Cricetulus griseus: one gene and its partners. The protein of the gene in region 4 interacts with the protein of the main gene of each other region in a pairwise test. Links are inferred from orthologs where the notes say so. Each region holds a gene or a part of one and is shown on either strand. Other genes may lie near its edges.

Region 1 (4,097 bases), on a different chromosome or scaffold from region 4:
ATTTTTTTTCTTTTTGGTGGCTGGAGAGACAGCTGTGGGTGCTGGGAACCAAACTCTTATATTTTGGGTTGTGAGCCTAGCCTTTAACGGCTGAGCCATCTCTCCAGCCCTATTTTTTTAATTTTTAATTTTATTTTATATATTTTTTTTGGCTTTTCGAGACAGGGTTTCTCTGTGTAGCTTTGGAGCCTATCCTGGCACTCGCTCTGGAGACCAGGCTGGCCTCGAACTCACAGAGATCCGCCTGCCTCTGCCTCTCAAGTGCTGGGGTTAAGGGCGTGCGCCACCAACGCCCAGCCTAGAAGACAATTTTAAAGAGTAGGTTCTCTTCTATCTTTGTGTGGATTCTGGGGATAGGACTCAGGTCTCCAGGTTCAGTGACAAGTGCTGAGCCAGCTCACTACCTCTCATTTCTTTTTTTCACTATCCATTTACATACCCATTCATTAATTCACTGGACCATCCATTCATTACTTGAATACAAGTAAGTATTCACCCATTTACCCAAATACCCACTCACTTATTTATCTATAATCTATCATCAGTTCATCTTCCAATTTACTCCTCTATCTGCTGCCAATCCATCAACATGCTCGGCTATCCACTCATCCACCCATCCACCTAGCCAGCCATCCACCTCTTTACAAATTTAGGCATTCATGCAACTATTCATTCATCTAACTCCTCACCGTCTCTCCAGGGACATGAAAAGCACCACTCGTTGGAGGCCAGCCTGGTCTCCAGAGGGAGTACCAGGATAGACTCCAAAGCTACACAGAGAAACCCTGTCTAGAAAAAAAAGAAAGAAAACCACCACTCACCACCCTGGTCTCCGCCTGGATGTGGGGGCAGAGGTGGGAGGCCTCCTCTTCTCTCTGGGAAAATGGAAGAAGTTAAGATGTTACATTGTTGCCACAGGTTTCTGGCTTAGTTCCTTATAACAGCTACATGAACTGGAGGACTCACCTTCATTGGTTGGTGCTGGTGGCGGTGGTAGCTGGCGTCTTTCTGTGGTTGAATAGGTAGACTGAGAGTCAGAACCACAAGAGGGGCTCTTCCAGCCTCACCTCACATGTCTAACTTATCTCCCCAACCCCCACCAAGGGCTTCTCCTTACCTCCACTTTGCCTCTGATTCCTTTTTTGTATCTTCTCCTGCACCAAAGCCCTGAAGGCCTGGGCTTCACTCTCGTCCGAAAAGTTCAGTCCTACTTGGCAGTCCTATATATGCCTTGGGGTCAGCAAACTTCTAGCACTCCCTACCCCCCAGGCTTTCTCCTGGCCTCCCCACACCCCAACTGCAGCCCAAGGCTAGGCTGCTCACTTACATCTCCAGCAAAGGTGTGGAAGAAGGGAGTGGGAGTGAAGTAGACCAGCTGTGAGTACAGCTCCTGTTCCCAGAGTAGCCGACCAGCCTGGAGAGGGGCAGGGTGGGGGACATGCTGGCATGCAGGCACTGTGGGTGGCAGACTTTTGTTTTCTGATCAGGGAGTGTGGTGTCCAGATTTGGTGTCCTAGAGTCTTATTTAGAGATCGTCAGCTCAATAGCAGAATTTGGGGTCTAGGTGTCTGGTATGGGGGATTGGGAGAGAGTCTTAGAAGCTGACACTGATGTGAGAGATCTAGGTCTGGGATTTGAGGACCATTTGTAGGAGTTGAGGGCTCAACGCCGTGAATTTAAGATTCTAGGCCTACAGGCCGGGCGTTGGTGGCTCATGCCTTTAATCCCAGCACTCGAGAGGCAGAGGCAGGCGGATCTCTGTGAGTTCTAAGCCAGCCTGGTCTCCAGAGCAAGTGCCAGGATAGGCTCCAAAGCTACACAGAGAAACCCTGTCTCGAAAAACAAACAAAAAACAAAACAAACAAACAAAAAAAGATTCTAGGCCTACAAATATTCACCATGTTGGATTCAGAACAGATTTGAGGCTTCGGCTCAGGTAGAAATGTGGTGTTTCAGGGGAGTTTGTGGAGCTGATCAGGACCCTGGCATGGGCCTTCTGAATTCAGTCATCTAGGACTCCAATGAGAAAACACAATTTGGGATTTGTATTGGTCTTTGGCTCTGGAGTTCTGATGGGAAAAAGGGCTTGAGGCTACGGACAAAAACTGGTTTTGCAGGTTGGAGACTAGCTTTTCTGTCCAGTGGGGCATTGGGTCACCTGAAGGCCATAGAGGCGAATGAAGTAGGACTTCTGAGGGTTATCCTTCACGAAGCACACAGCCCCGCAGTGTTCCATGGTCCAGTGCTCAGCTCCAGGGGGCAGTGCCAGGTACAGCTGAACAACTGCAGTGGCCAGTGTCTAGGATGGGACAGCAGGGGGTCACTGGAGTCTGTGCACGGGTAACCAGGCCTGGCCCCTGCCTGCTTGAGGCTGTCATGAGCTTGGGGGAAAGAGCTATAGCCAGGAGGAAGGTAGATATCAAGATAGTCCTGGGATCCACAAACTGTGGTAAGTGGATGCTGGGAGAGGAGATGGGGGAAAGGGAAAAGAGGGATGATGGGAAGAAGAAGGAGCAGGGATGTATGGGTAAGAGGAGAAGGCAAAAGGGGGAAGAAGAGGTAGAGAGGAAGACGAGGAAAGGGAGGGAGACTGGGAGGACCAGGAGATCCCCAACTCACCCAGCATTTTCGGCCAAGCAGCTCAAAGAGTCGCTGGTTCTCATGGTCCTGGAGGAGGTTGGAAGGAATGTTCTGCTGAACTGCTGGTCCCCCTCGACCCCCAGGCCTGCCTCCTACAGGGCCACCACTCATGGTGCCTTCTGCCCTAGTCCTCTTCGGCTAAGCTCTGGGTGCAGGGTAAGAAGAGGAACTTCCGCAGTGAGCAAGGGAACAGGAAGTGCAATAAACCACAAGGGAAACAAGTCCTCCAGGGGCCCCCAGAGGGCCTGTCCTCCTCGGTAGAACTGACTGGGGCCATCCTCCATTTGCCTAGCTAGAACCATGTTTGTAATGAGCTCAGGGATCCTTTCTTCCTTTTCTTTCTCTTCCCCCCTCTCTGTCCCTCTCTCTGTCTCTCTCTTGCCATTTCCTTCTGACAAGCTCAGATCTCGCTCTAGTTGGTGCTGAGAGCTAAGCCATCTGCAGCACTTCTACAGGGTTCGCTGCTCAGAGTAGTCACAAGGCTGTGTCATCTCCTTCTTCCCTAAAGCACCAGTCTGGCCTGGGGTTGAGTCCAAGGCTCCAGGTGCTGAAGGGTCATTGCATTACAGCTTTTCCTTGCAATGGCGCAGTGACCCCATCTCCAGCCTTGAACATCGCCAACAACATATAAGCCCATGGCTTACTTCCTCATCATTTACCCTTGCCTCCTGTAGCTCCCTCTTTACTTTCTTCTGATCAACCTCATTCTGTTTTGTTTTGTTTTTTGTTTTGTTTTTCGAGACAGGGTTTCTCTGTGTAGCTTTGGAGCCTATCCTGGCACTTGCTCTGGAGACCAGGCTGGCCTCGAACTCACTGAGATCTACCTGCCTTTGCCTCCCAAGTGCTGGGACTAAAGGCGTGTGCCACCAATGCCCAGCCAACTTCATTCTGGAAGGAAGGACTTCACAGTATAAATAAATTCTAAAACAACATCTTGATTGCTTTTTTAATATTTGTTTTATTTTTATAATGTATTTAACTTTATTTTAATGTGCATTGCTGTGAAGGTGTCAGATCCCCTGGAACTTGATAGTTTCCAGTTGCCATGTGGATGCTGGGAATTGAACCTGGGTCCTCTGGAAGAGCAGACAGTGGTCTTAACTGCTGAGCCATCTCTCCAGCCCTTGATTGATATTTTTAAATTATGTTGGGACTTTTCAAAAGTATGTAACCTTTGAAGGTTTGATTTTCGCCACTTTTGGTGATGAGAATTGGATACAGGATCTTGCTGAGCAGTGGTGGTACTCGCTTTAATCCCAGCAGTCTGCAGGCAGAGGAATAGGATCTCCGAGTTCCAGGCCACCCTGGTCTACAGACTGAGTTCTAGGACATCTAGGGCTGTTACACAGAGAAACCCTGTCTCGAAAAAGAAAGAAAGGAAGGAAGGAAGGAAGGAAGGAAGGAAGGAAGGAAGGAAGGAAAGAAAGGACCTTGTCCATGCACCTTCATGTCCTCTA
Region 2 (3,931 bases), on a different chromosome or scaffold from region 4:
GCCATCGTGGTGGAAAGAGCCATGAGAGGGAGCTTCTTCTGCAGGGAGGGTGGGGTGGGCAAGCAATCGTAGTTTACCAGTCTCCTCCACCCAACCTGAGCCGGGATCACCTGGCCATACCCACACACCAGCAGAGGGAGGAGCCAACCATTCAGAAACTGGATGAGGTGTGTGTGTGTGTGTGTGTGTGTGTGTCTGTCTGTCTGTCTGTCTGTCGCCTCACACACTCACACACAAGATCTCCCACCTACTACCTAGGGTCCCTCTCTTCACCGAACTAGGCAAGAAGAAATGATCAATCCCAGGAAGACCAGGGAACTACCAAGCAGAGAGAGGGAGCAGGAAGCTGTCACAAGGTCACACCATTGCAAAGAGAAGAGCTGGCCTGTGGCTAGGGGTAAGATGACCCTCCTTCCCTACCTCAGGGCATAGGTGGCTAATCCAGCCACCACCTAGCTCAAACTTTCCAAGGCTGCCTATTGCCTCACACCCAGGCCCTTCTAAGGGAAAGCAGAGACTTGCCTGCTACCTTCAGAGCACTTCAGAACACTTCAATGTTGTCCAAGTCCCTGGGATTGGGACTGGATAGTTGTGAACCATGTGGGTGGTGGGAACCCAACCCAGGTCTCTACAGGAGCAAGTGCTTTTGCTGAGCCAACCCTCCAGCTCCAACCATAGGAATTTTTAAACATCCCTTTACTTCCACCTGGAGTTTGGAGAATACGACACACTACATTTTACAATCAGAGGGACCACAGGGTCACTTTTGCCACTTGTTAGCTGTGTGACCTTGTGTTAGTAAATTTAGGTCTTGGGCTTCCGATTACACACAAGTGACTTATACAAGAGACTTGCCAGGGCTGTTGGGGAGACAATGGTTAGCCATCTTAGCAACAGTCTGGCAGGAGTAATACATGCTGCCTGTAGAGTAACAGTGAGTGAGCATCCTCATCCAGCTCAAACGCTGCTCCAGCCACCTAGAAGGCCTGGGGGTGTGCTGGTTGGTAGCAAACCCAGAGAGCCTCATTCCCACCCCATCCCTCACCACTCACTCAGGCCCCTCCTCCTGGTGACCCCCACTTACGACCCGCTTGTCCATGTCAGCCCCGCTTTGGCCCTGGAGACAAGCCTGCAGCCGTTTGTGAACATTATGGGCTGCTCGCTTAGCAGGCTCCAAGCGCTGCTCCACCTGGGAGGCATAGGGAGGGACACGTACTGTAGACTGTAAGGGGTGATTGCTCTGTTGTCTCCCCCTGAGCAAGAATCATTTTTCTCTTCCCTCCTGGGGCTCCCCTGGCCAGCAGGGAATGACTCAACTAGGCCCGGACTGTTGTCCCCGCCTGTCAGCCTGTCAGCCTCGATACTGACAGCCTGCACAGACCTGCCTCCCAGCCCAGCCCAGCCCAGCCCAGCCCGCCCAGGCACGTACCTGCAGAAGGTCCTCACCCAAGAACTCGGCAGTCTCTGGGGTGCTGTGGGGGAAGAGGGGCTTCTGCTGAGTCCTCTGGGTTAGGAAACACACTGCCTCCCACTATCCCCTGCATATGGCACCTGGGCCTGGGTTGTTTCCAGGACCACCAAGCTTGGGTGGCCTGTCTGCACCGCAGTTGGAGCACATTCCATGGGTTTTAGAGGATGCACGTCTGCTTCCTCCTCCACCCACGGCTGTGCTGGGAGAGGGTGTTCCCATGACACCAAAAGGACAGGAGGGAGCTACCCAGGGCTCAACTTTGGGACATGGAGGCAAAGTTTCCCTTGTCCCATCCCCCAAATTGTTTGCCTGTCCCGGAAAGAGGAGGCCTAGGCTGGCCCCCCAGAACGGGAAGTGTGGAAGCTGGCCTCCGGGGTGGTCAGGCCCACAGGCACAATATTGGACTGCAACTGTGGACAGGTCCCGGGACTCTGCCCAGGGACACATAGGCACATGGGTTCACAGCAAAGTGGCCTGGCTTCGTATATGCACGCAGGTGTCTATGTCATTGAAGGATTGGGTCAAGTTTCTGGGCCCAAAGAATGGGGAACTCCCAGGCTGGGGAAGAGGAGCAGAGAGAAAAGCTCCAAGAAACTCCCCAAACTTCCGCTCCCCTAGTTCTGGAGCTGGGGACCGAAGAGACCAGAGAGCGCCTCTACCTGAGCCTTCGAAAAGCAGAAGCAGGACTTTGCTGTAGGAGGCCCCTGGGCTGGGGGAGGGGACGGACACCCAGCGCGGAGCAGGCCACTCCTCCCCAAGCCAGAACACCGCCAGTCCCTTCCTCCATGGTCTGGGGCCCCCGATCGGCTCTGTTCCTCCCCAACCCTGCAGTTAGAGGTGGTTAACTGTTCCCATTGTCCGGAGGGGACCAATGAGGCTCTCCGGGCAGCGTCCAGGCTCAGGGCGCATTCTGCTCTCCTTAGCCTTTCCAACGAGGAATGGAGGTGCCTTTCCCCGCAAAGGCCAGCTGTGCCTGTGCGACCACAGTGGCTTCAGACGCCAGGAAGCGAGGTCAGGGCTCTGGCATACAAGGGGGCCGCTGACCAGAAGTCCCCGACCCCACTCTCCTGCACCCGCTCAGGTCCTGCTGGGTGACAGCAGGGCTAGAAGGGGGTGACACTCACCGTCCCAAGCTGCCCGTATGGGCCAGCTGCCGCATGCGGTGCAGTTGCCTCTTCATCATCTTGAGTCCGGGCTGGGGGCTGAAGGGTCACCGTGGGGGTCGAGGCTGGCAGCCCCTGGCCCAGCCGGCTTCCCCGCGCGATTCGCCCCGGATGGGTGGGCGGCGCTCTGGCTTCCTGGGCCGGCGCGCTCCTCTGGCTGGCGCTGGCGCTGGCGCTCTCCTCCCCCGCTCACGACTCCGCCCCCGGCCCCCAGGTCACTCCTCTCTCCAAGTTTGGTGTCCCGCTCTTTCGCAGCTTCCGGGCCCCAACGACCCCCGACCGGTCGCCTGGCGAGTGTCTGTTGGTCTGTCTCTCTGCTGTACGCAGGTTGAGTGCGGCTCCTCCTTCCCGTACCCTGCCCCGCTGTGGTGGCCGGTGGCGGGAAGCAGGTAAGCCGCTCCTGCCACCGCCGCCCTGGGTATAAACAACCTTTGCTCTCTTAAAGGGAAAAGAAGGCTCCGTGCCTTGAAGGGACAGGCCTTCAGGACCTGTACAGGCTAGTCACTAGGGGATGCTCCTTGGAGACTTCTTCCCTTATACCATTCCCTGGCCATATCTCATGCCTGCTGGACCACTAGCTGGGAACCTGGACTACCTGGTCCCCAAAGTTCCTCATTCACTGTGTTCCTCATAGTGGCTTGATGGGACAACTGTCCTGGACCAGCCCATGACACAGGGTAAACAAGATACCCCGGCCTGCTCCTCAGCCTTAGATCTCCTCCACTTTAAGGGTCCTCAGCTTGGATGGTTCTATTTGTAAAGCTCTTTCTCATTCCTCCTGGCAAAAGTCCCTGATCCCTGTCCTTCCTTCTTGTTAGGCACTCACTGGTATGGGGTGCTGCTCTGAACCCTCAAGACCAATAGAAGTTTTCTTTTTGGAACGTGCCGCTGAAAACCAGCCTGTACATACAGTAGATGTTCATAACCGGTAGTTACTACAGGGCAAGAGAGCCTGTGGGCAACAGCGCGCTGACTCCGGGGGAGGGGAGGCTACAGGAAACCCTGAGCACTGCACCACACTTTGTAAGTTTCAGTTCAGAGCCCATACCACTTGAGCACCTACTGTGTGGGCCCCTTTACTGTTCAAGAAGTCCTATTGAAGCACGGTGGTGGTGGCACTCGCCTTTAATCCCAGGCAGAGGCAGGTGGTTCTCTGTGAGTCCAAGGTCAACCTGGTCTACAGAGCGAGTTCCAGGATAGCCAGGGCTACAAAAAGAAACCCTGTCTCGGAAAGCAAAACAAAAGAAACCCTATTGAAGATGGGAGGAGCCCAGAGGGGTCCCTGAAGCTGCCCCTG
Region 3 (3,500 bases), about 61 Mb from region 4:
GATGAAATTCTTCTTCTCCAAATACTCCATGGCAGAAGAGATCTGAGTGGCCATGTAAAGTAGAACAACGGCTGTCACCTCCTCACGGTTGCATTCCCGGAGATAATCAAGCAGATTCCCGTAGGGCATGTATTCAGTCACAATGTAGAACGGGGGCTCCAGGGTACATACACCTGACCAAGAACAATTTGACAATCTTCACCACATTCTATGAAATAAATACAACAAAAATCTAAAAACAGGTTAGTAAGAGCCTGTTTCACCGTGCTGTCCTCTGCAGCTTCACAGCATCTGCACCCCGCCCCCTTTTGTTTGTTTTTTCCAGACAGGGTTTCTCCGTGTAGCTTTGTAGATCACGCTGGCCTCCAACTCACAGAGATCCGCCCACCTCTGCCTCTCTAGTGCTGGGACTAAAGGTGTGCGCCACCACACCTAGCGCAGTTTCTTACATTAACCCGACAGCCCCTTCAACTGTGTGCAAACCATGTTATCACAAGTAACAGAACTTAGGCCTATGCTGATGCTTACTTGCTCTAACTACTTTGTAAAACTGTCTCCACAGTTGATTTCATTATCATATGGCAGATTCCATATTAATTTTCTTATGGCATAGCTTAGCTTAATTAAATATTCAAAGAAAATGGCCCAGTAAGGCAGTGGTGGCACACACCTTTAATCAGAACACTTTAATCAGGGAGGCAGAGGCAGGCGAATCTCTGTGAGTTCAGGGCCAGTCTGGTCTACAGAGTAAGTGCCAGGACAGCCAGAGCAACTTTATGATAAGACAGAGAAACCCTGTCTTGCCAAAAACCAAACAGGCCCGACTTTTAAAAATGGAAAATATTTAATCAAAGACTCCTTTGTAGCACAAACAGATTAAAAAAAAATAACCCACTGCAGCATATTCATTTCCTGCTTTAATAAATTGATCAGCCACAAGTTTTAATTCACTTTTTTCAGTGGTTCTTTGCTTAAAGTCTCTTAATATTTCATGACAATTTTTAGATGCCATCTTGAATGCTTGTGAACTATGAACCTGGGGAAAGCACAAACTGGACAGCTTACACATTGCAATCAGTCTGTGGCTGGAGTTATGATGGAACTAAGAGCACTGGCTGCTCTTCCAGAGGACCAGGGTTTGATTCCTAGCATCCACGTGGCAACTTTCAGCCATCTGTAACTGAAATTCCAGGGCATCCAATGCCTCCTCTGGCTTCCAAAGGCACCACAGCACACAGATACACATGTAGGCAAAACACCCAAACACATAAACTAAGCAAAAAAAAAAAAAAAAAAAAAAAAAATTGTAAAGGGGCTGAAGAGTTGGTTTAGTGGTTAAGAGCACTGGCTGCTCTTCCAGAGGACCTAGTTTTGATTCCCAGGACCCACAGGGTGGCTTATGGCCACCTACAACTCTAGTTCCAGGAGATCCAATGTCCTATTCTGGTTTCCTTGGGCATTGCAGACATATACATCCAGGAAAAACATGCATACATACAAAATAAAAGTTTTAAAAAAAGCAATCAACTCGATGCACTGTTTTTTGTTTTAATGAGTCTATTAGTTAAAAGAGAAGGGATGTGCGTGCACTCGCATCCCTGTGTGTGTTTGCGGCACTAAGCCTAGAACGTGGTGCTTACTAGCTCCCCCCTGGTCTGCATGCCCAGCTCATGGTATCGTTAATACAGTCAATGCACAGCTAGCATTTCCACGGTGCTAAAACAAAACAGAACAATCTGCAAAAACACAATCTGCAGACAACAAAACACTAGGGTGGGCGCGTGGGCCTGAGGAAATCTGTGGTTTGGGATTCTTACCTAACAGTTGTACTAGATTAGGATGCTTGATTTCCTTCATCACTGCAGCTTCTTTCAGGAACTCCTCGACCTCCATGGTATCTTCCTGTTAAAGGGAGAAAGTAGATAAGAAAAACAAAAAGGAGGTCAAACCTCCCTCTTATTCATTTAAGTCAACCCATAAGCCTACTTCAGGTAGAAAAGCAAAAGGGCCTGAGAGATGGTTCATTAGTTAAAAGCACTTGTTGCTCTTGCAGAGGACCTGGGTTTGGTCCCCAGCACCCACATGGCAGTTCATAACCATCTGTAGTTTCAGGGACTCTGATGCCCTCCTCTGGGCTCCCTGGGCACTGCACCCATGTCGTGAACTTAAAATGCAGGCAAAACACTCATACACATAAAATATGTTTTTTAAATAAAAGAGACCAAGAATACTGTCCTTGAATTTATCCAGTGTCAGACATTTGACTAAAAATAAAAAGGGTAAGCAAAATTCAACAGCCTCAGCTGGGGTGGCGCACAACTTTAATCCCAACACTCGGGAGGCAGAGGCAGACAGATCTCTGTGAGTTCGAGGCCAGCCTGGTCTTCAAAGAGAGTTGCAGGACAGCCTCCAAACCTACAAAGAAACCCTGTCTCGGAAAAAAATAAAAAAATTGAACAGCCTCATCTTACAACTCACAATAGAGGGGCTGAGACTGATCGGATTAGATCCTGTTTTTTTTTTTTTTTTTTTTTTTTTTTTTTTGGTTTTCCGAGACAGGGTTTCTCTGTGGCTTTGGAGGCTGGCTGTCCTAGAACTAGCTCTTGTAGACCAGGCTGGTCTCGAACTCATAGAGATCCGCCTGCCTCTGCCTCCCGAGTGCTGGGATTAAAAGCGTATGCCACAAATGCCCAGCCTACTTGAGAATCTTAAAGTCACATGGTCTAACACTTAAGTCTGTGCTATTGACATCATGCTTTATAAATGGTTATAGCCAGGTGTAGTGGTACATGCTGTTAATACTAGCAGTTGGGAGGCAGAAGCAGACAGATCTCTGTGAGTTCAAGACCAGCCTTATCTATACAACAGCAAGCTCTGGGTCCAACCATGGCTACACAGTGAGACCCTGTCTTCCTTTAGAAGTCCAGTGTGCTATCCATTGCACCACGGAGCCACCTGAGATCCTGTCTTAAGGGAAAAGAAAATAGTTTACAGCTCTATGCTATAATTCCAAGGACCCACCAAGAAACCTAAAAGTTTCAAGAATGCAAGTATAAACTGGACATAGAGATGCAGGCCTCCCCAGTGCTGGGATTAAAGACGTGCGCCACCAATGCCCGGCTTGTTTGTTGCTTTTTTTAAAGATTTATTGAAGTATGCATTTTATGTACATAAGTGCTCTGTCTTCATGCACACCAGAAGAGCGCACCACATTTCATTAGAGATGTGAGTCACCATGTGGTTGCTGGGAATTGAACTCAGGACCTCTGGAAGAGCAGCCAATGCTCTTAACCTCTGAGCCATCTCTCCAGCCCCAATCCTATGTTTCTTAAAGAACAAAGCACATGTGCAAGGCCTCACTGCTTCCTTCACATTCAGAATATGTAAACAGGGCTGACTACTACCCATGAGAACATCTCATATGAATTACTGACAATCTATGATTTTATACCATGACACTCAAAGGGACAGTAGGATCAGGAAAAGGACTTTTATGAATT
Region 4 (4,257 bases):
CAATCTATCCAGCTATCACAAATAACTCTCTTAATTTTTTTTTTTGAGTGAAAGTTTTATTAGACAGGGGAGGGAGGGGGAATGAAAGAGAAAAGAGGTAAAGACACAGGGGGAGAACAGAAGAGAAGAGGGAGACAGGAAAGAAGAGCAGGAAAGAGCAGAAAGACAACTCTTAATTTTTATATTGTGAGTTTTGGGATTAAATTTGGAACTTTTGGATTAAAACTTTTTTTTTTTTTACATTTTTACTAAAAATATAGTCTCACTATGTAGCCCACACCAGCCTGGAACTCACAACCTCTGGGTCTTGGCCTCCAGAGTGCTGGGATAATAAGTACTTGCCACCATACCCAGCTCACCTTTTAGATTTTAAGGGGAAGGGTTCAGAATGCAGTTTAAAGTTCCTGGAAATAACTACAGACTGGTTACCAGTTTGTTCATTTAGAAATCTGAGACAGGGTATCTATCATACAGCCCAGGCTACCCTCAAACTTAACTACATAGCTGAGGCCAGCCTAGAACCCAAGGGTGCTAGGATCACAGGTGTGCACCAACATGCCCGGTGCTTTTAGACAAATAAACTCAGTTCATCTTTGTACACACCAGCAAGAATAGGGACCACCACCATCAGACCCATTTTGCAGATTAGAACAGAGATAATTAAAAGTCACTGGCCCAAGCCTGGCTTAATGATACATGCTGGTCAGTCCAGCTCTTGGGAGTCCAGGCACAAGGGCTGCCTCATTAGTGATCAGTCCTGGCTACAGAGGGAGTAACAGAACAGCCAAAACCATGTCTCAAAGATAGAAACTAGGGCCAACGAGACGGTTTGACAGATAAAGGGGACAGGTAAAGGGCGCTTGCAGCTAAGCACGGTGACCTGAGTTTGGCCTGGGACCCACATCGTGAGGAGAGAACCGACTCTAGCAAGCTATCATCTGGCTTTGGAAAATGCCCCGTGGCATATGTAGGTGCACCTCGCTCTCAAAATTAAATAAATAGTAAAAGTAAAAAGCCACTCTCCCCCAATAACTGTGCTAAGTTGACAATTTATAAACCCAAAAGGATGCTCTGCTGGGAGTAAATTTCACCCCAGGTCACCCAGACTTTTAATGGGAGATGGGACTGGAGGTGCGGAAATGGAGTCCTCTGGGAAGGAGAGGGACCCATGCCCAGCTCCCGCACCGCCCCTTTCCGAGTCTTATCCCATTCTTACTTGACTTCGGGGTCATCTTTGGTAGGTCTCTTGGGAAGGTACTTTTTCACCAGGCTCCTAAGGGTGGGGACAGAGGCAGGGAGGCTTGAGAACCTGCCGGATCACCGCGGAGCCCCAGCAAGCACCCACCCTAGCGCTCACCGGAGTTGCTTGGCATAAGCCTGCTCCACCTCTGCGCGTTCTTTCACGAACTTCACGTATTTGTCCAACAGATCCAGCCCCCACTGCGTGTGGCGTTCCAGCACCTCAAACTGATCCTGATTCCAGGGGAGTGATTGGGGAGGTCAGGGTCACCTGGAGGGAGCACCGAAGCCCCAGAGACCAGATGCACGAGAGGGTGGGGGCGCACAGGCAGGGGGTGGGACACGGCACAACCTCGACACAACCTCGTGGCTCGGCGGTTCCAGCAAGGACTGGCTGGCTTCCCCAGGCGCCGCCCCGGCGTGGCGCAGGGGGAGGCAGGAAGCTGGCGGGAACCCCCATCTCCTCCTCCCGGGAAGGGCCTGGACAACAGCGCCAGGGCCCCAAACCGGACGGCGGGGTCTCTTGGAATCCGGGTGGCCAACGAGGGTGTGGGAGGAGGCTAAGCTACTCCAGCTCCCTCCGAACCCTCTAATCCCCCAAATTCCGGAAAATCAAGCGGGCTTGGCACATAAGACAGGCACAGAAGGGAAGGGTTTGTGCAGCTCAAAGTGCGTGGAAGGAGGGAACCTCAATGGCCAGATTTCCCCATTTGCCACGATCCCCGGGGTGTGACTCAGTTTCCCCCGCTTCTGTGATGCCTCCACTACAGTGGCTTGCCTCCACTACACCCGAAGACTCCACCGCCTCCAGAAAGAGGAGGGGTCAATAGTCCAACAAGGATTCAGGGAAACTTCTAGGGCTTCCTGGGTGAGGTTAAGTGGCGGGTAAGGGGTGGCTCCGCCCAGCCGAGTCCTGCAGCCCCCTTCCCCTCCCCCTCAGCGTCCCAAGCCCTTTAGGGCAATTGCAAGCGGGGAAGCAACCGAGTGAGGCCCCACGTGGGAGAGAAGGTGACCAAGGGGCCCCCCTCCCCCTCCCAGCCGGGCGGCGGGCAGGGACCCAGGGGCCGTAAGATTAGCCTCCAAGCCAGGCCAGGGCGCTCAAAATAGGTGACCTCGCCCAGCTGCCCCCCCCCTTCCTGGCCTGGTCTAGGGACTTCTTGTGATGGCCTCACTCTCAACTCTGTGACTCAGTTTCCCTATACGGGTCCTAGGCAAAGTATCCCTAGGGCCCTCTGAGCATCTAGAAAGTCCCCAAGGAACTTTTGAGAGAGTGCTGAAGGCAGAAGGCGGGGACCCGCAGGATCAGCTGCGAGGGAAACCACAGAGTCCCGGCAAAGGTACATAGGGGACAAAGAGCGGAGAGGCCAGGACCCCAGCAAGGGAGAACCGTGTGAGCTGGGAAGAAAGGACTCACCCACAACTCGGTGCCCCAATCCATGCTCGTCCTGCCGCCGGGGACGCCACCACCTCCTGCCGGGGTCCCCGCCACCCTCCACCAAACTCAGCCCCAGGGCGGTGTGCCCAACCCCGCCCCGCCCCGCCACCAGACCACGCCCACTCAACCAGTGCGCCACGCCCCTTAGCGCTTTGCCACGCCCCTGCCCCGCCGAGCCTGGAGCGGGGAGCCCTAAGGGAGGAACCCAATGAGGCGGAGCTCAGCGAATGTTCCGCCCTCTCTTAAAGGGCTCTGGACCTCCTTAAAAGATGCCTCGATTTACTTTCCAGTCTGTACCCTGATATTACTCTCCTCTGCCATCCCAAACTATTCATCCTTTCCATTTAACTTCGCATTTCTTACAAAGGATCAAAATATCAAAATCCCAAACCCACTCCTCCCCACCACATGGCAGGGAAAACCTGCGGTCGGTCACTAGGCTCTTGCGGGGGCCACCTAGGCTCCAGAAATCTCCATTTCGTTTCACTAATGGTCTGGTTCCCTCCGGCCACAGAGCAGATGGGATGATTTCGATCCAGCCCTGGACGCACCTCCAGCTAATGCCAGGTCCATTAGCGCACCCCCACCGCATCCTGACTTCCCTTCCTCCCCGCCAGAACCTCCTTTGAGAAACTGAGGACAGGCTGCCCTTGGGGCCCCAGTTCTGGACTAAACACACACACACACACACACACACACACACACACACACACACACACACACACACACAGCTCGCACTTGCACCTGACTGCCCATTTCCCAGCCCCATTTTCTGAGGCCCAATCAGTACTGCGTACCAGATTCTTAGGTGGCTCCCGCGCCCACCCCACCCCATCCCACCCCCGCCCTAGCGTAGACCCTGGGGCCCTGGGGCTCAGAAATTCGGTCCTCCCAATCATAAAGGTCCTTTCACACCTTGTAAATCCCCTTGAGGCTCCCAGATGGAAAAGAAAAAAAGGCCCTGGTGGCTCCCACCCCCGCTCTCCTGGGCCGTAGGTGCTTTCTCCGTTACTGCAGAAATACCTAAACACCCCTCTGCTGCTTTATCTGGAAGAGAAGCGCAGTCCGGACTTTTGAGGAAAAATGCCCTGGAGACCCCACTGGAACGGAGGCTCCGGTGAGCATTAGCCCCACCTGCTGGCAGCTTGAAGGATAAGCTCGCACACGCAAAGCCGAGTGGGGGTTGGGGAGAGGGGGTGGAGGAGGGGTCCGAGGTCTGATGAGAATAAGCTATCAGACTGGGGTGGCGAGTTTAGCGGCGGGATCAGCTATTTAGTTAAGAGTTGAAGACTATCTACAGCTGGGGTCCAGAAGCTGGGACTCTTCCAGATCTGGGGGCTCAGTAGAAGATGGGCGGGGGGGGGGGGGGGGGGGGCTGGAGAAATGGCTCAGTGGTTTAAGAGCACCGACGGCTTTACCAGAGAACCCCGGTTCAAGTCCCAGCCCTCACAACTGTCTGTAACTTCAGCATCTGACACCCTCACAAAGACATACATGCAGACAAAACACCGATGCACATAAAATAATAAAGATAATCAAAAAAAAAGATTAGGCGTGTAAAATAGGGTGAGGTGCCTAGGATC
Region 5 (4,282 bases), on a different chromosome or scaffold from region 4:
GTATAAGCTATACATTCTATCAGAAAGTGAATCAAAAAATGAGAATAATTTTCATGCTAATTATGATATTTTTAATATACTAGGTTAAATAGAATTATGTTACATGTAGTTTGCACACTTGGTTTTTTTGTAACATGAGTACTAGAAATTAAAATCACAGGGTAGCTGGCAGTGCATTTCTAGGATACTACAGTTGTCGGTGGTCTGGATGCCAACAGTACACATATGACCTGGGGTTTCTTAGAAGAGTTTTTCCCCACCCTGTACTTTAGGGTAAGAGAAGCCCCAGACTGTCAACAGCATTGTCAACAGATGAAGCATCACCATTGCTGGCTCAGTTCAAATCACCTACAAATTGAAACCACAGGATATTCACTGGGTCTATGAAAGCAACAAGGCAAAGGCTCAATCACATGGTTCGGTTCTGGCACAACTAAACCAGTTAACCAAAGAAAAGTGGAATCACAAAGATGGTGGTCCAATATTTGGGTTTTCAACTGATGGTGACCTAAAGTACAATGAATCCCTGTGTTACAAAATTAATTTCTACATCTGACTTATTCTACAGAATAGAACGTGTTTATAATTATAATATTTATTGGGTTGTTGGTTTTATTAGAAAACACTCACCTAGTACGCCAAGGCCCTGGGTTTGACTTCTAGTAATACACACCCCTAATTAAGATTGAAACTGTTAAATACAAAGTGTGATAGAAATTTAATTTCACTTTTCTCTTTTGTTTATTACAAAATGGCAACATCCATTTTCTCAGATAAATAATACTAGGTCGTAACTTTACAGATCACTATCTCACTTTAGTCTATTTAAAATTATTGTTCTTAGATGGACATGGTGGGTGCACACCTTTAATCCCAGTACTTGGGGAAGGGAGATCTCTGTCAGTTCAAAGCCAGCCTGGTCTACATAGTGAGTTTTAGGCCAGCAAGAGCTATAAAGTGAGGCCCTATTTCAAAATAAATAAATAGAATTATTACCGTTAATCCCAGTAATGTCATTTGCACTTTTAGGACCTAAATTACAAAGCTCATTTTTTTAATCAGGCCATTTTTTAAAAGCATTGGATAAATATTTTGATTTAAAAAAGCCAAATGATTACAATTAATAAGCTTTTCTGCAACATTTATATATTTTATTTATGCCTCACAACTAGAGTAGTATATTCAAAAAAGATTGATAATTATATAACCACAACTAATCTACACAAGTGGCGTCAATCATGACTCAATGAGCAGTCTCCAACCCTATGGTTGATAAGGAACAGGAGATTGTCAATAAATACTAAGGACCACACACACAAATACACACACACACACACACACACACACACACACACACACACACAGAGAGAGAGAGAGAGAGAGAGAGAGAGAGAGAGAGAGAGCGCATTATGCTTTGTTTCCTGGACAGAAAAACACCTGAAAAAGGTGGAAAGTTATGTACACCCTGTTGGCCTAACTCTTCCATGGCACAGCTAAATCATACCTTCACGAACCCCTCTGGCTTTGGGTTCCAAAAGCTGTTCTGAAAGGCTTCCAATGCAATTTTAAAATAGAAAATATTGCACCTGCAGCCAGACTCAGAGCAGCGGAGAAACGGAAAGATGATCCATTCCACAGTACACCCTCTTAGAGATCAGGTAAGTAAAACCGGACGTGAGCAAATAAATACCTCCAGGCCACCATTTTTCACCTTTAAGTACAAAAGAAGCACTGCTACAGGCTAGACACTCTGAACAATTTCACATTGCAACATTCGGAGTCTTCCAAGGTCTCACCTCTGTTAAGTCGGACAGCAGAATCTGAATGAGAACCCAGGTGACTCCTTGTTAATGCTCCTTCCTCCAATGTACCTCCCTTTAGGAATGTGTGCCTAAATGGGCAATAAAATCTACTTCCGCGTGTCAACTTGAACCACACACGGCCAACCTTGTAACCAGTGTTAAAAACCTTTACCCGTGGTGGCATTTCACTTGGAATGGCATTCAACTTTTTAAAAAATGATACACTAAAAACATTTAACTTTCGCCTTTGCAAAGCATTTTAAACTGCTGCTGCAGGCAAAATTAAAAAGAAAAAAAAAAAAAAAGAAAAAAGGAAAACATCACCCGCCTCTGAAAGTGAAGGGCGTGCCTTTCTCTCTAATGACCACCTTGTGGCCATTCTGTCTGCGAGGGTCTGCAGTAACTTAAGACACAACGTGTCAAGGGCAGCCTTTCCGGAAAGACAAAACAAGCGCCCGAGACGGGAGGTAGACAGCGCGCTGGCAGCGGGGTCTGTTGTTTCTCTTTGATTCAAGGGCTCGGAAGAAGAGAATCTCGGAGCAGAGCCGGGGGCAGCAGACGCACTCCTCCGGGCCGGGGAGAGCGCGCCGTTCGCGTCCACAGTGCCCGCCGCGGCCCAGGAGGCAGGTGTGTCCACCGGCAGCAGCCGCGGAGGGCGGACCGGCTCTCCCGCCCTCCCGAGGGCCCGCTGCCCGCAAGCAGGAAGCTCGGGAGCGCAGGCTGAGACCCGGGTCATGTAAACCTGCTCGCCCCGTGCGCCAGGCGGCCGCCGCCCTCCCCAGCGCAGCCCTCCGCAGGCAAAGCCCGCGCCCCCGAGCGCCTTTGTGCGTTCCGCGGGAACCCGCGCCCGGCCTTCTTACCAAGGGTCGGAGACCTAGCGACGGGCAGCTCCCTCCTCCGCCGGCGTTGCGGCCGAGCGACGGAGAGACTACCTGACGAGCGCTCAATCGGCACCCGCCACCGCCGGGCGTCCCCGCAGGCTGGTCTCTGAGGGAGGGTAAGTTCCAGGGCACGTCGGAGCGCGCCGGCGCGGGGGCGGGGCGGGGCGGGGCGGGCTCTAAGGGGAGGGCGTGACTTTCGTCACGTGATGGACAGGGGCCGGGCGCCCGCTGAGAGGGCGGGGCGTGTCTCCTTAGAAGGGGCGGGGGCGCAGGACCCACGTGATACAGTGAGGGCGTGGCAGGTGTTGTCGTTGGGCAGGAATGGTGTGGGTCACGTGACGTGGGGGCCCGGGGTTAGTGCTGTGAAGCGCAGATGACTCACGTGACGGCTGGAGTGGGCGGGGCGCCAGGCTCCAGGCAGCAAAGGGCGCGCGGGGAGAGATGGCCGCGGAGTTCCAGTTGGGCGGGGTGCCGGGAGGTTGGTTAGGCAGGCTTGTGGGGGGGTGCGCAGGCATTAGGGAGGGCGCGGAAGCCGGCGGCCGAGTGGGTGTCAACACTTCGTAAACATCTAGTGGGAAGTGTTGGGAAAACGGTAGTGGGAATACGGGAGAACGGAAAGTGCTACGGCGGCAGGGAGTCTGCCTTCTGGGACTTAATGGCGCCCTGGATCACGGGTCCACAGGCTGGCAACCCTGGGGGAACGTGCGGCACTTATATTGGCACGAAATGGAACTCTGGTGGTCTTGAGCTACTAGGTCTATGCCGAACTGGTGGTGGCCTGAACCTTGCGCACAGTGCTGGCAGAGCAGTACGCAGGGCATGACTGCTCTTTGAGCCCACAGGGCCTGCCGAATGCAATCACCGTGGGCCAGGATGTCATCGTCCAAAGTTTGCAGTGTGGCAACGTGGAACCCGGAAGTGGCCCACAGTGAAGGGTTTGGGTAGTGATTATGTGGTGAGAGTTGCTAGAATGAAAATCCGCTGAGGCCTGGCTCTGCCATTATGTGCCGCTTAACCTTCTGCACCTCTACTATCATGTGAAGAGTGTTGATTTAAAACCTTCCGGATCTAAAATTGAAAGACTTTGAAAAAGTATAATAAGTATTGGGAATTCAGGAATCATTCATTAACCACTTGTTGGTTGTGCCTGTTACGATGGCCAGATGAGATTTCAGCAACACCAGAGAAGAGGGGAAAGCAAAGCCGGCGGCCTAGGGCTCAAGAGCCAGGTTCTGGATATAGCTCTTTTCTGGCTTCATCCACAAAGATGTAGCAATGTCTAGCTTAGCACAAGCTGAACTCTCAATTGTTTGTTAAGTGATAATAAATAAACCCCATTGGGATGTTGGCAAGGTTTCTAACAACTGTCTCATAATCCTTATTAAATCTAACCCGGCTAATGTTATAACAAATTCTCCTCTTAGATGCTCAAGATGAGAGTTTAAAAATAAAAGACTTACTATGTCTTTGCATTTGCTATTCCCTTTCATTGGCTTTCATCATGTTTCCGGTCTCCCCCAGTCTCTAACATGTTCCCTCTTCCATGCCCTTGTTCAGTATATACAGAATATGCCATTGTTCAGCATACACAGTAATGCT
Region 6 (4,172 bases), on a different chromosome or scaffold from region 4:
ACAGTCAGAAAGCAGAAGGCTTTGCATGCTCCTGGTTCAGCCAGCTTTCTCCTTTTTATACAGCCTGGGGTCACAGATGATGCAACACTGTGGCCCACATTTAGAGTGGGTGTTCCCATCTCAATTAACCTAATGTAGATAATTCTTGACAGACATGCGCGGAGATTTGTTTCTAAGGTGTCTCTAGATCCTGTCAAGTTGACACTTTAAACCATCACATAGCTTGTGAAGGAAGCCATAGTCCACCGGATGCAGGGAATATTGTCTACACAGAGCCAGGGCTGCAGGTCATAAAATTTGCCTGGTTCAGTTAGAGCAATGTGAAATGATCCCACCAAGTTTCCCCTCTCCACTGTGTCTGCGAGGGCTAGGAATCAGAACCCTATGGTCATTTAAGGCAGCAGGGACTCAGACCCATCAGTGCAGGGGCTGGTAAGGACCAGTTTCCTTTGGCTGTGGGCCTATGTGTATACTCTGTAGGTGGCCTTCATCTGATTGATCCTAGTCTTTTAGCTTTTCCCATGGACCAGTAAGCAGCTCCTGAAAAGAGCCTTCATGACACACTCTCTCCTGACACTTTGCCCTTTGTGCAGGACAGAGGGCAAGGTGTGCGGGTGTTGAGGGCCTGGAGCTCCTCGAAGGGTTGGTTCACCCCGCTTGATCTGGCTCGGCTCACTCCTGCTCTGCTAGGATATACTCTGGTCTGACCCACCAACTCGGCTTAGCTTTAACCAGATTTAGGTTCTGCTCGCACTCCCTTGACTTGGCCTCACTCCAGTAGGAACACCCTTTCTATTCGGCTTGGCTTGGTCCGGCTACTCCCTCTCCAGACTGGCTCGGCTCTGGGGTCCGGCTGGGCGAGGCACCATCTGTCTGTGTTCCACCCTGAGCAACCGAGCCGGGATTTACTAAGGCTCACCCGCGTTCCAGCTGGCCCCACTAGAGTAAGAACCCAGGTTGGGCTCAGCTCGCTGCTTCCAGCAGGGCTCACGCTAAGAACCGCGGGGATCCAGGTGCCCCGCTAGGTTTGGCTCCGCCCTTCTTGGGGGAGCCACGCTCGTCCATCCCTTATTGGCTCAACTCCACCCCTCTCCACTCGACGATTAGTTCGGCTCCACCCCAAAGTTCGCCTAGCTTTGGTGGTCTTGCTCCGCAAGACTTCTCTGGTTTCTGCCCGGCCGGGTCCAGCTCAGCTCCACCTATCTCGTTTCGCCCGGGTTCGGCTCGGCCCCACCCACCTCGCTGGTTCCCGCCCTGATCGGCTTAACTCCACCCATCGCACCTTCTTGACTCCACCTCTCTGGTTTCGGCCTTGTTCGGCTCCGCTCGGCCCCACTCGGTCGAGCAGGAGGGGCGGGCGACAGCCCTGGAAGTGACGCGGCGAGGGCGGGCCCGAGTTGTAGCCTCGGTCGCCGCCTCTCGGGCCGGGAAACGATGTAGGAGCCGCCAGACGGTCCCCAGCTCTCCCCGGCCCGAGCTCCGCGGCCTGTCGCCGCCGCAGCCGCCGCCATGAAGAAGCAATTCAACCGCATGAAGCAGCTGGCTAACCAGACTGTCGGCAGGCGAGTGCGCGAGGGCGGTCCTGCGCGCGAGGAGCCGAAGAACGGGGAGAGCCGGGCGCGGCCGGGCCTGGGCCAGCGGGGCGGGGGTCTGCGCCAAGCTGCGGCTTAAGCGCTGCCCATTGTCCTGCCCTAAGGACCATCGCCCTCGGGGGACCCACGCGAGCCCTTACTCCTCTCTGTCCCCGCCAGCCCGAGCTTGGCGCCTGCTGCGAAAACTCCGCAAACTTGTGTTCCTAACGCAGTGCCAGGCGCGCCGCTTTGGGGGCAGCGTTCCCAGGCTCTCCCAGTCGACCCGCTGTTGCAGCCTTCCTCCAGAAGAGCTTGCTGGTCACAGGGAACTGGAGGGGTGTTAATGCCAATGAAGTTCAGTCTCCCAGTGAAGGAATAGAGACGTGCAATCTCAAAATCCAGGCTATTGGGAACTTGTTGCGAGTTCTTGACGTTTACAAGTTTGGAAAGGGAAAAGGATGTCTTTTCTCCTCTTGGATGCGGAAACAGATATTTTGTTTCTTTGATACTGCTTGAGTGCTTGATAGGAAACATTGTTTTTTCTTTCTTTTTTTTTTTTTTTACATGAAAAGATACAGGAGAGACTGTAGATGAGTAGGCTGTGGAACAGGAGCGATTTGCGGTTTTTAAGAGCTTCAGGAGGCTGTTGTCATGTACTGTGCTAACTGTAACAAATATTTCAAGGTCTTGCAGGGCAGATAGCTGTGCTGAACCACTTTGCTGTTTATTCTGCACGGAGATAGATGAATTTTTCACAGCTCTAACGCTTTCTCTCCTCCCCTGGCAGTTAAGGGGAGTTTGGTTTGGTTGAAGCACGTGAGACACTTCTTTTTTTGTATATGTAGGAAAATACTTTTACTTCCTCTTGAGTTTTCTAAATTTGCTTTTTAGAATGTTTCATTTCCCTCAACTTTTTGCTAGGTTTTGTTACTGAGTTTCAAACAACAACAACAAAAATAACTCATGTAATTTTGGTATGCATTATCCTTTATCTAGAATCAGTCCCTGCCCCTTAAACCCAGACATGCCTACTTTACTGCTGCTTGTAGAATTAAAGAAAGAGGAAGATCAAGACAAACAATCCCAATGGCTCAAATGAAAAACATTATGAGAAATAATTTCTTCTGAGTTGTGCACCCCTTTCTCAGCCATGCATGGCAGAATCAAAACTTAGTGAATACCAAGATATATTTGTTAGGTTGCTGTTTATTTACTTATTAGACTGCTTTGTATTGTGTGGTACAAGGGACAGTTGCTGAAAGCTCTGTAGGGTTCTGTGGGCTCCTGCTTCCCCTTAGCTTCCCTTCCTACTTTTACATTCCAGCCATACCTACCCACTTTCAGTTTCCATGGGAGGCCTGTGTTTCTTCTGTATTATTCTCTTCCTGGACATCCCGGAAGCCTTTTTCACCACATCTAGCTGATAGCTACCTCTTTCTCATTCTTCAGGTCTCTCAGTGATAGTCTCTGTGCCCTATGAAGGTCCTTGGGGCATAATACCATACGCTGCCTGCTTTCTAGACTCAAACTCCCTCTTTACCTGTGTGTGTTGGTTGTTTGACTAAGCACTCTTGAGTGTCTTTCCTATGTGTCTTTGGTTCCCACGATTTGTGACTCCTATCTCATGACAGATAGCCTGTTGAAATTGTTAACTTCAGGAGTCTAGCTCTTACTACATTGCCTGGTGCTGTGGTATTAAGTTTGGGAAAATGTGAACAGGATAGAGTGGTGGTGATTCATACTGGGACAGTAATTCCGGCCCTGACCTTTGACTCTTTGAAAATCTTTATTGCTAGATGCCAGTGGAAGCTGCAGCTATTGCAGAGCTCTAAGGGTGTGGCAGCTATGAGACTCAAGTCAGAACATCTGTTTTTATTGGGGAGAAAACCTGTTGCTCTCTAGCTGTTGATTTCCTAGATCTCGATATCTCCCTCCCTCCCTCCCTCCCTCCCTCCCTCCCTCCCTCCCTCCTCCTGTGTGTGTGTGTGTGTGTGTGTGTGTGTGTGTGTGTGTGTGTGTGTGTGTTCCTATTTAAGTAACCCTAAGGGGTAGAAAGAAAAATAGATGACAAACCTGAGAATTATTATTGAATGGAGCCAGATGATTGATAGGCACCAGAAGCAAATACGGGTGTATTTGAGTAAAGATCTTTTCTAGCACAGATTTCTCCCAGCTGTGATCTGTATAGAGAAGGAATTTATATATGTGAATGCCCACTGTTTGTTTATCAGTGTATAGAGTTGTAGATGGTACCTTCTGGTGAGGTATTCCTGTAGGATGGAATGGCTCGTGAGTAACTCCACCATGAAGTTTCATAGCACCAGTAAGTGGAGGATTAGCAGTGCCTAGAAAGAATGAGCTGTTATGATGCAGTTTGTGTACAGAGGATGGATGAGTCTATTGGTGGTGTGGGCAAGGCTTACTAAGTGGTCTTATGATGTAGGTGCCCTAAAGAAGAGTAGTTGTTTTTGCCCACCTGATGTTTAGTGAGTCAGGTATTCAGTGAACACTGAGGCCACACTGCCACACCACTGAGTGTTATTAAAGAATCAGATAAATATGAGATTTCTGCCCTGGAGCTGCTCAGTAGACATGTAGGCA
Region 7 (3,500 bases), on a different chromosome or scaffold from region 4:
CCTCCCCAGCCAGATCGGAGCCCTGCATGGCATCCTCTACGTGTTGGAGTGTGACCTCTTGGATGACACTGCAAAGCAGCTCATTCCAGTTGTTAGTGACTATCTGCTGTCCAACCTCAAAGGAATAGCCCAGTGAGTGGGGCTGGCTGGGTGGGCTACAGCCTTTGGTGTAGTCTTAACAACAACAACAAAACTAAAAAAATAAAACAAAAGGGCCCTATTTGACTTTCCAAGTATATGCTAGAACTACCATGGTAGGACATGCTTATAATCCCAGCATTTGAGAGGCTGAGGCAGGAAAATTGACATAAGCTTGAAAACAACCAGGGCTACAGATGAAATCCTGTTTCAAAAGCAGTAACAAAGTATATGCCAGGTCCTGGTAGGTCACAGGCAGGGAACCCAAGAGGGTACCTTTTTTAGGAAATAGTAGCCATGAAACACAAGGATACAAGTGTATGTCCAAAGCTTTCTTGGTTATCTCTAGCAAGATGAAAAGTCCTGCCACTGCATCACTCTACAGTGGCACTGAGTACTCTGAAGTGGACAGCAACCTTATCTTCTGCTACCAGAGTTAGCCTCTTTTTTAGCTTCTGAGCAGCCCCATGTTTCCTGTGAGGCCCTTTTATTCCTGCTCTGATCTCTGTCTCCCCATAAAGATGCATTACATGTAACTGCACATGGATGTATTGCTGGTCCTTTTGAAAACAAGTTGAGCCCATCACAGCTCTGTTTTAGAAGGGGGGGGGGGTGTGCTGTGACCTAAGGAGGGACACACAGCTGGACACTGAGAAGTTTGGGGCATGTGTTAGGGATGAGAAGGGACTTGCAGGAAAATCCAGCTGTTCTTGACAGAAATGGAGAGTAAAGTTAAATGAAAGGTTTGGAAATGGTGAGGTCTTAGGCTGACAGACATAGCTGCTATGAAGAGGTAGCATTCTGACAGGTGAGCAGAAGTGCATTTCAGGGGCCCAACAGGCAGTGGCAAATTGAGCTGAACAGATACAGTGGCTTGTAGGAAGGCACTTTCTTCCCTGTAGTCCTTACTGAATAGTAGCTTACATGTATATGCAAGGTAAGCAGACAACCACCCACTATCCCTGTGATTCTAGATCCTGACCTGGAGCAGATTTGAGCATGTTATGGGCAAGCACAATCTGCTGAGAAATGAAGAGGGCATAGAGGACTGGGGTGGCTGTGAGGAGCTTGCAGTGCCCAGTCAGATAATAAGTATATCTTGCTTAGTGCTTTGAGCAGAGGGTTCCATGTCACATACAAAACAGTGGCCAATTCCTAGGAGTGACGGTGTCATTTGAACACATTTGAAAGGATAAAAGAAATGGTGTGTGGCTCCTTTGTTTATGGTGGCATTGGTTTAACTCATATGCTAGCCAGGTCCCTACTGTTGCTGTTGGCAACAGATACCAACTGGAGATCCCATAAATTAGAGTGTTACAAGTTGGCACATACCACACATGGAGCAAACTGACACTCTAAGGATGCATCTTGAGCATGAAGATCTGTAGGGACAGTGAAGTGGCCTAGAGAGGTACAGTATTGGGGTAGTGTATCAAGTTGAGGCCATGCAGCTCTGGAAACAGTGTAGTCACCAGGCAAGCCAGGAGAAAAGTCCTGGAGAAGCTGGCATGGCCCAAGGCTCTGTACTTAATAAACACGATGGATATGCTTTAAAACTGTCCCCACTGCAGACAGCCAGGAGCTGCTGTATGTGACTGGATATGATTACTGTCTCCCATTCTCAGCTGCGTGAACATTCATAGCCAGCAGCACGTGCTGGTGATGTGTGCCACTGCATTCTATCTGATGGAAAACTACCCTCTGGATGTGGGGCCAGAATTTTCAGCATCTGTGATACAGGTGAGAGGGCTTTGGATGGGCTCTGTTGGACATGGGCAGGTTTCCTTGTGTACTGAACCAGTGGGTCATTGTGCTTTTGAGAGGGTAAGAACAAACAAGCCTTTCTTCTTGTCTAGATGTGTGGAGTGATGCTGTCTGGAAGTGAGGAATCCACCCCCTCCATCATTTACCACTGTGCCCTCCGGGGTCTGGAGCGTCTCCTGTTATCTGAGCAGCTCTCTCGGTTAGATACAGAGTCTTTGGTCAAGCTAAGTGTGGACAGAGTGAATGTACAAAGCCCACACCGAGCCATGGCAGCCCTAGGCCTGATGCTCACCTGCATGTACACAGGTGAGCAAGTTGTAAGGGTTGTAGACTCACCAAAGGACACTGTGCCTGGCCTAGCTTCTAAGAAGTAAAGCAGGAACATATTCAGGAACACAAGCCAGACCTCATGGTGTGGCAGCCTTAGTGTGGCCCTAAACCAGCCCTGTCACATTTCCAGAAATTCTAGGGCCCAAGGAAAGAGAGCAGCTCACATGACACCACCATGTATAGGTATCAGAGCTGCCTCTGGCCACTGCATCCCTGAGAATTGTAAGAAAGTTGAGCTGCACCCTACCTTGCTAGAGACTAATCACCTGTTTTTGAAGGATCTCTTTCTATCTGGCCAAGTCCTATATGAGTCACTGAGTGCTGATTTCAAGCCTCTTGGGTTTCAATCCTATAGCTTCCTGGGTATTTCTGTTTCAGGAAAAGAAAAAGCCAGTCCAGGCAGAACCTCTGACCCTAGCCCTGCTACACCTGACAGTGAGTCTGTGATCGTTGCTATGGAGCGGGTATCTGTTCTCTTTGATAGGTAAGAAATGCAACACAGCCCCACCTCTAACCTCAATAATCATTGACTATCCTAGAGCCAAAGCCAGAGCAGTTGCATCTGTGTGTATATGTTCATCCTCTTAAACTTTAAAATGCAGCTTGTGGCCATTTTTCCAATGTGTATAATGTATATTCACAGAGCACCACTTGTAGCCAAACTCAGGGATAACTGGGCCCATGCATGTGTACAGCCATGCCACTGTCCTCATGGATCCCACTGCTGAGGAAATAAACACTCCTGCGAGTGTGCCCAAGTGATGTGGTGGGGCTCAGGTCATATTCACAGGAATGCACCCTTGGTTGGGCAGAGACACAGCTAAGTGTCTGAGTTACTTTTGCACTTTTCAGCTGTACACCACAGTTGTGCGTGCATTAGTGGGATAGTTCTAGGTCAGCTGTCTTTCAGGATGTAGGTAAGGGGCAAGTGTTGAATGTTGAGAGAAGAATCAATAGGACATAATGGGTCCTTATCTGATAGAAAGAAGAACTCCTGGTTGACAGTAGTGCTCTGATATTAGGACATGTAACAGTGAAAAGTTCTTGGAGCATTTTGATGTGGAAAGACTCTCCTATAGTGTCACCACCCTACCCTCTTCCTGCTATTCCTTTACAGGGATTTCCCACAACTCTGCATTATTCTCCTCATAGTGGCAAAGATTACCCTGTGCCTGGATCAATCGGGGCAGCAAAAGAAAAGTCTAGGTGTCACCTTTGGCTTTTAAAGTTCATACCCTAATTGTGGTCTGAGCCATACTTGGAGCATC

Evidence for each region.
Region 1: the proteins of Trip10 (region 4) and Was interact in a two-hybrid assay, tested with the Homo sapiens proteins (2 studies listed by BioGRID). The link is inferred for Cricetulus griseus from reciprocal best matches to the Homo sapiens genes TRIP10 and WAS.
Region 2: the proteins of Trip10 (region 4) and Sh3bp1 interact in binary tests that used the Homo sapiens proteins (3 or more experiments, as listed by UniProt). The two-hybrid records come from large-scale screens. The link is inferred for Cricetulus griseus from reciprocal best matches to the Homo sapiens genes TRIP10 and SH3BP1.
Region 3: the proteins of Trip10 (region 4) and Abl2 interact in binary tests that used the Homo sapiens proteins (3 or more experiments, as listed by UniProt). The link is inferred for Cricetulus griseus from reciprocal best matches to the Homo sapiens genes TRIP10 and ABL2.
Region 5: the proteins of Trip10 (region 4) and Arhgap12 interact in binary tests that used the Homo sapiens proteins (3 or more experiments, as listed by UniProt). The two-hybrid records come from large-scale screens. The link is inferred for Cricetulus griseus from reciprocal best matches to the Homo sapiens genes TRIP10 and ARHGAP12.
Region 6: the proteins of Trip10 (region 4) and Arhgap17 interact in binary tests that used the Homo sapiens proteins (3 or more experiments, as listed by UniProt). The link is inferred for Cricetulus griseus from reciprocal best matches to the Homo sapiens genes TRIP10 and ARHGAP17.
Region 7: the proteins of Trip10 (region 4) and Htt interact in binary tests that used the Homo sapiens proteins (3 or more experiments, as listed by UniProt). The link is inferred for Cricetulus griseus from reciprocal best matches to the Homo sapiens genes TRIP10 and HTT.

Annotation. Positions count from the first base shown.
Region 1 is NC_048604.1:114,563,753-114,567,849, forward strand, and holds the start of Was (wiskott-Aldrich syndrome protein), read right to left. Parts: upstream 2,801-4,097; 5' UTR 2,752-2,800; coding exon 2,620-2,751; intron 2,300-2,619; coding exon 2,159-2,299; intron 1,415-2,158; coding exon 1,328-1,414; intron 1,221-1,327; coding exon 1,118-1,220; intron 1,009-1,117; coding exon 967-1,008; intron 876-966; coding exon 822-875; intron 1-821. UniProt on the Homo sapiens protein: Effector protein for Rho-type GTPases that regulates actin filament reorganization via its interaction with the Arp2/3 complex. Important for efficient actin polymerization. Possible regulator of lymphocyte and platelet function.
Region 2 is NC_048595.1:376,004,188-376,008,118, reverse strand, and holds the start of Sh3bp1 (SH3 domain-binding protein 1), read right to left. Parts: upstream 2,801-3,931; 5' UTR 2,655-2,800; coding exon 2,596-2,654; intron 1,473-2,595; coding exon 1,430-1,472; intron 1,190-1,429; coding exon 1,085-1,189; intron 39-1,084; coding exon 1-38. UniProt on the Homo sapiens protein: GTPase activating protein (GAP) which specifically converts GTP-bound Rho-type GTPases including RAC1 and CDC42 in their inactive GDP-bound form.
Region 3 is NC_048598.1:35,224,239-35,227,738, forward strand, and holds part of Abl2 (tyrosine-protein kinase ABL2), read right to left. Parts: intron 1,903-3,500; coding exon 1,818-1,902; intron 174-1,817; coding exon 1-173. UniProt on the Homo sapiens protein: Non-receptor tyrosine-protein kinase that plays an ABL1-overlapping role in key processes linked to cell growth and survival such as cytoskeleton remodeling in response to extracellular stimuli, cell motility and adhesion and receptor endocytosis.
Region 4 is NC_048598.1:96,232,938-96,237,194, forward strand, and holds the start of Trip10 (cdc42-interacting protein 4), read right to left. Parts: upstream 2,801-4,257; 5' UTR 2,678-2,800; coding exon 2,654-2,677; intron 1,474-2,653; coding exon 1,358-1,473; intron 1,274-1,357; coding exon 1,217-1,273; intron 1-1,216. UniProt on the Homo sapiens protein: Required for translocation of GLUT4 to the plasma membrane in response to insulin signaling. Required to coordinate membrane tubulation with reorganization of the actin cytoskeleton during endocytosis.
Region 5 is NC_048596.1:208,325,457-208,329,738, reverse strand, and holds the start of Arhgap12 (rho GTPase-activating protein 12), read right to left. Parts: upstream 2,801-4,282; 5' UTR 2,663-2,800; intron 1-2,662. UniProt on the Homo sapiens protein: GTPase activator for the Rho-type GTPases by converting them to an inactive GDP-bound state.
Region 6 is NC_048596.1:77,348,059-77,352,230, forward strand, and holds the start of Arhgap17 (rho GTPase-activating protein 17), read left to right. Parts: upstream 1-1,372; 5' UTR 1,373-1,509; coding exon 1,510-1,562; intron 1,563-4,172. UniProt on the Homo sapiens protein: Rho GTPase-activating protein involved in the maintenance of tight junction by regulating the activity of CDC42, thereby playing a central role in apical polarity of epithelial cells.
Region 7 is NW_023276807.1:103,884,181-103,887,680, forward strand, and holds part of Htt (huntingtin), read left to right. Parts: coding exon 1-132; intron 133-1,763; coding exon 1,764-1,878; intron 1,879-1,994; coding exon 1,995-2,208; intron 2,209-2,610; coding exon 2,611-2,716; intron 2,717-3,500.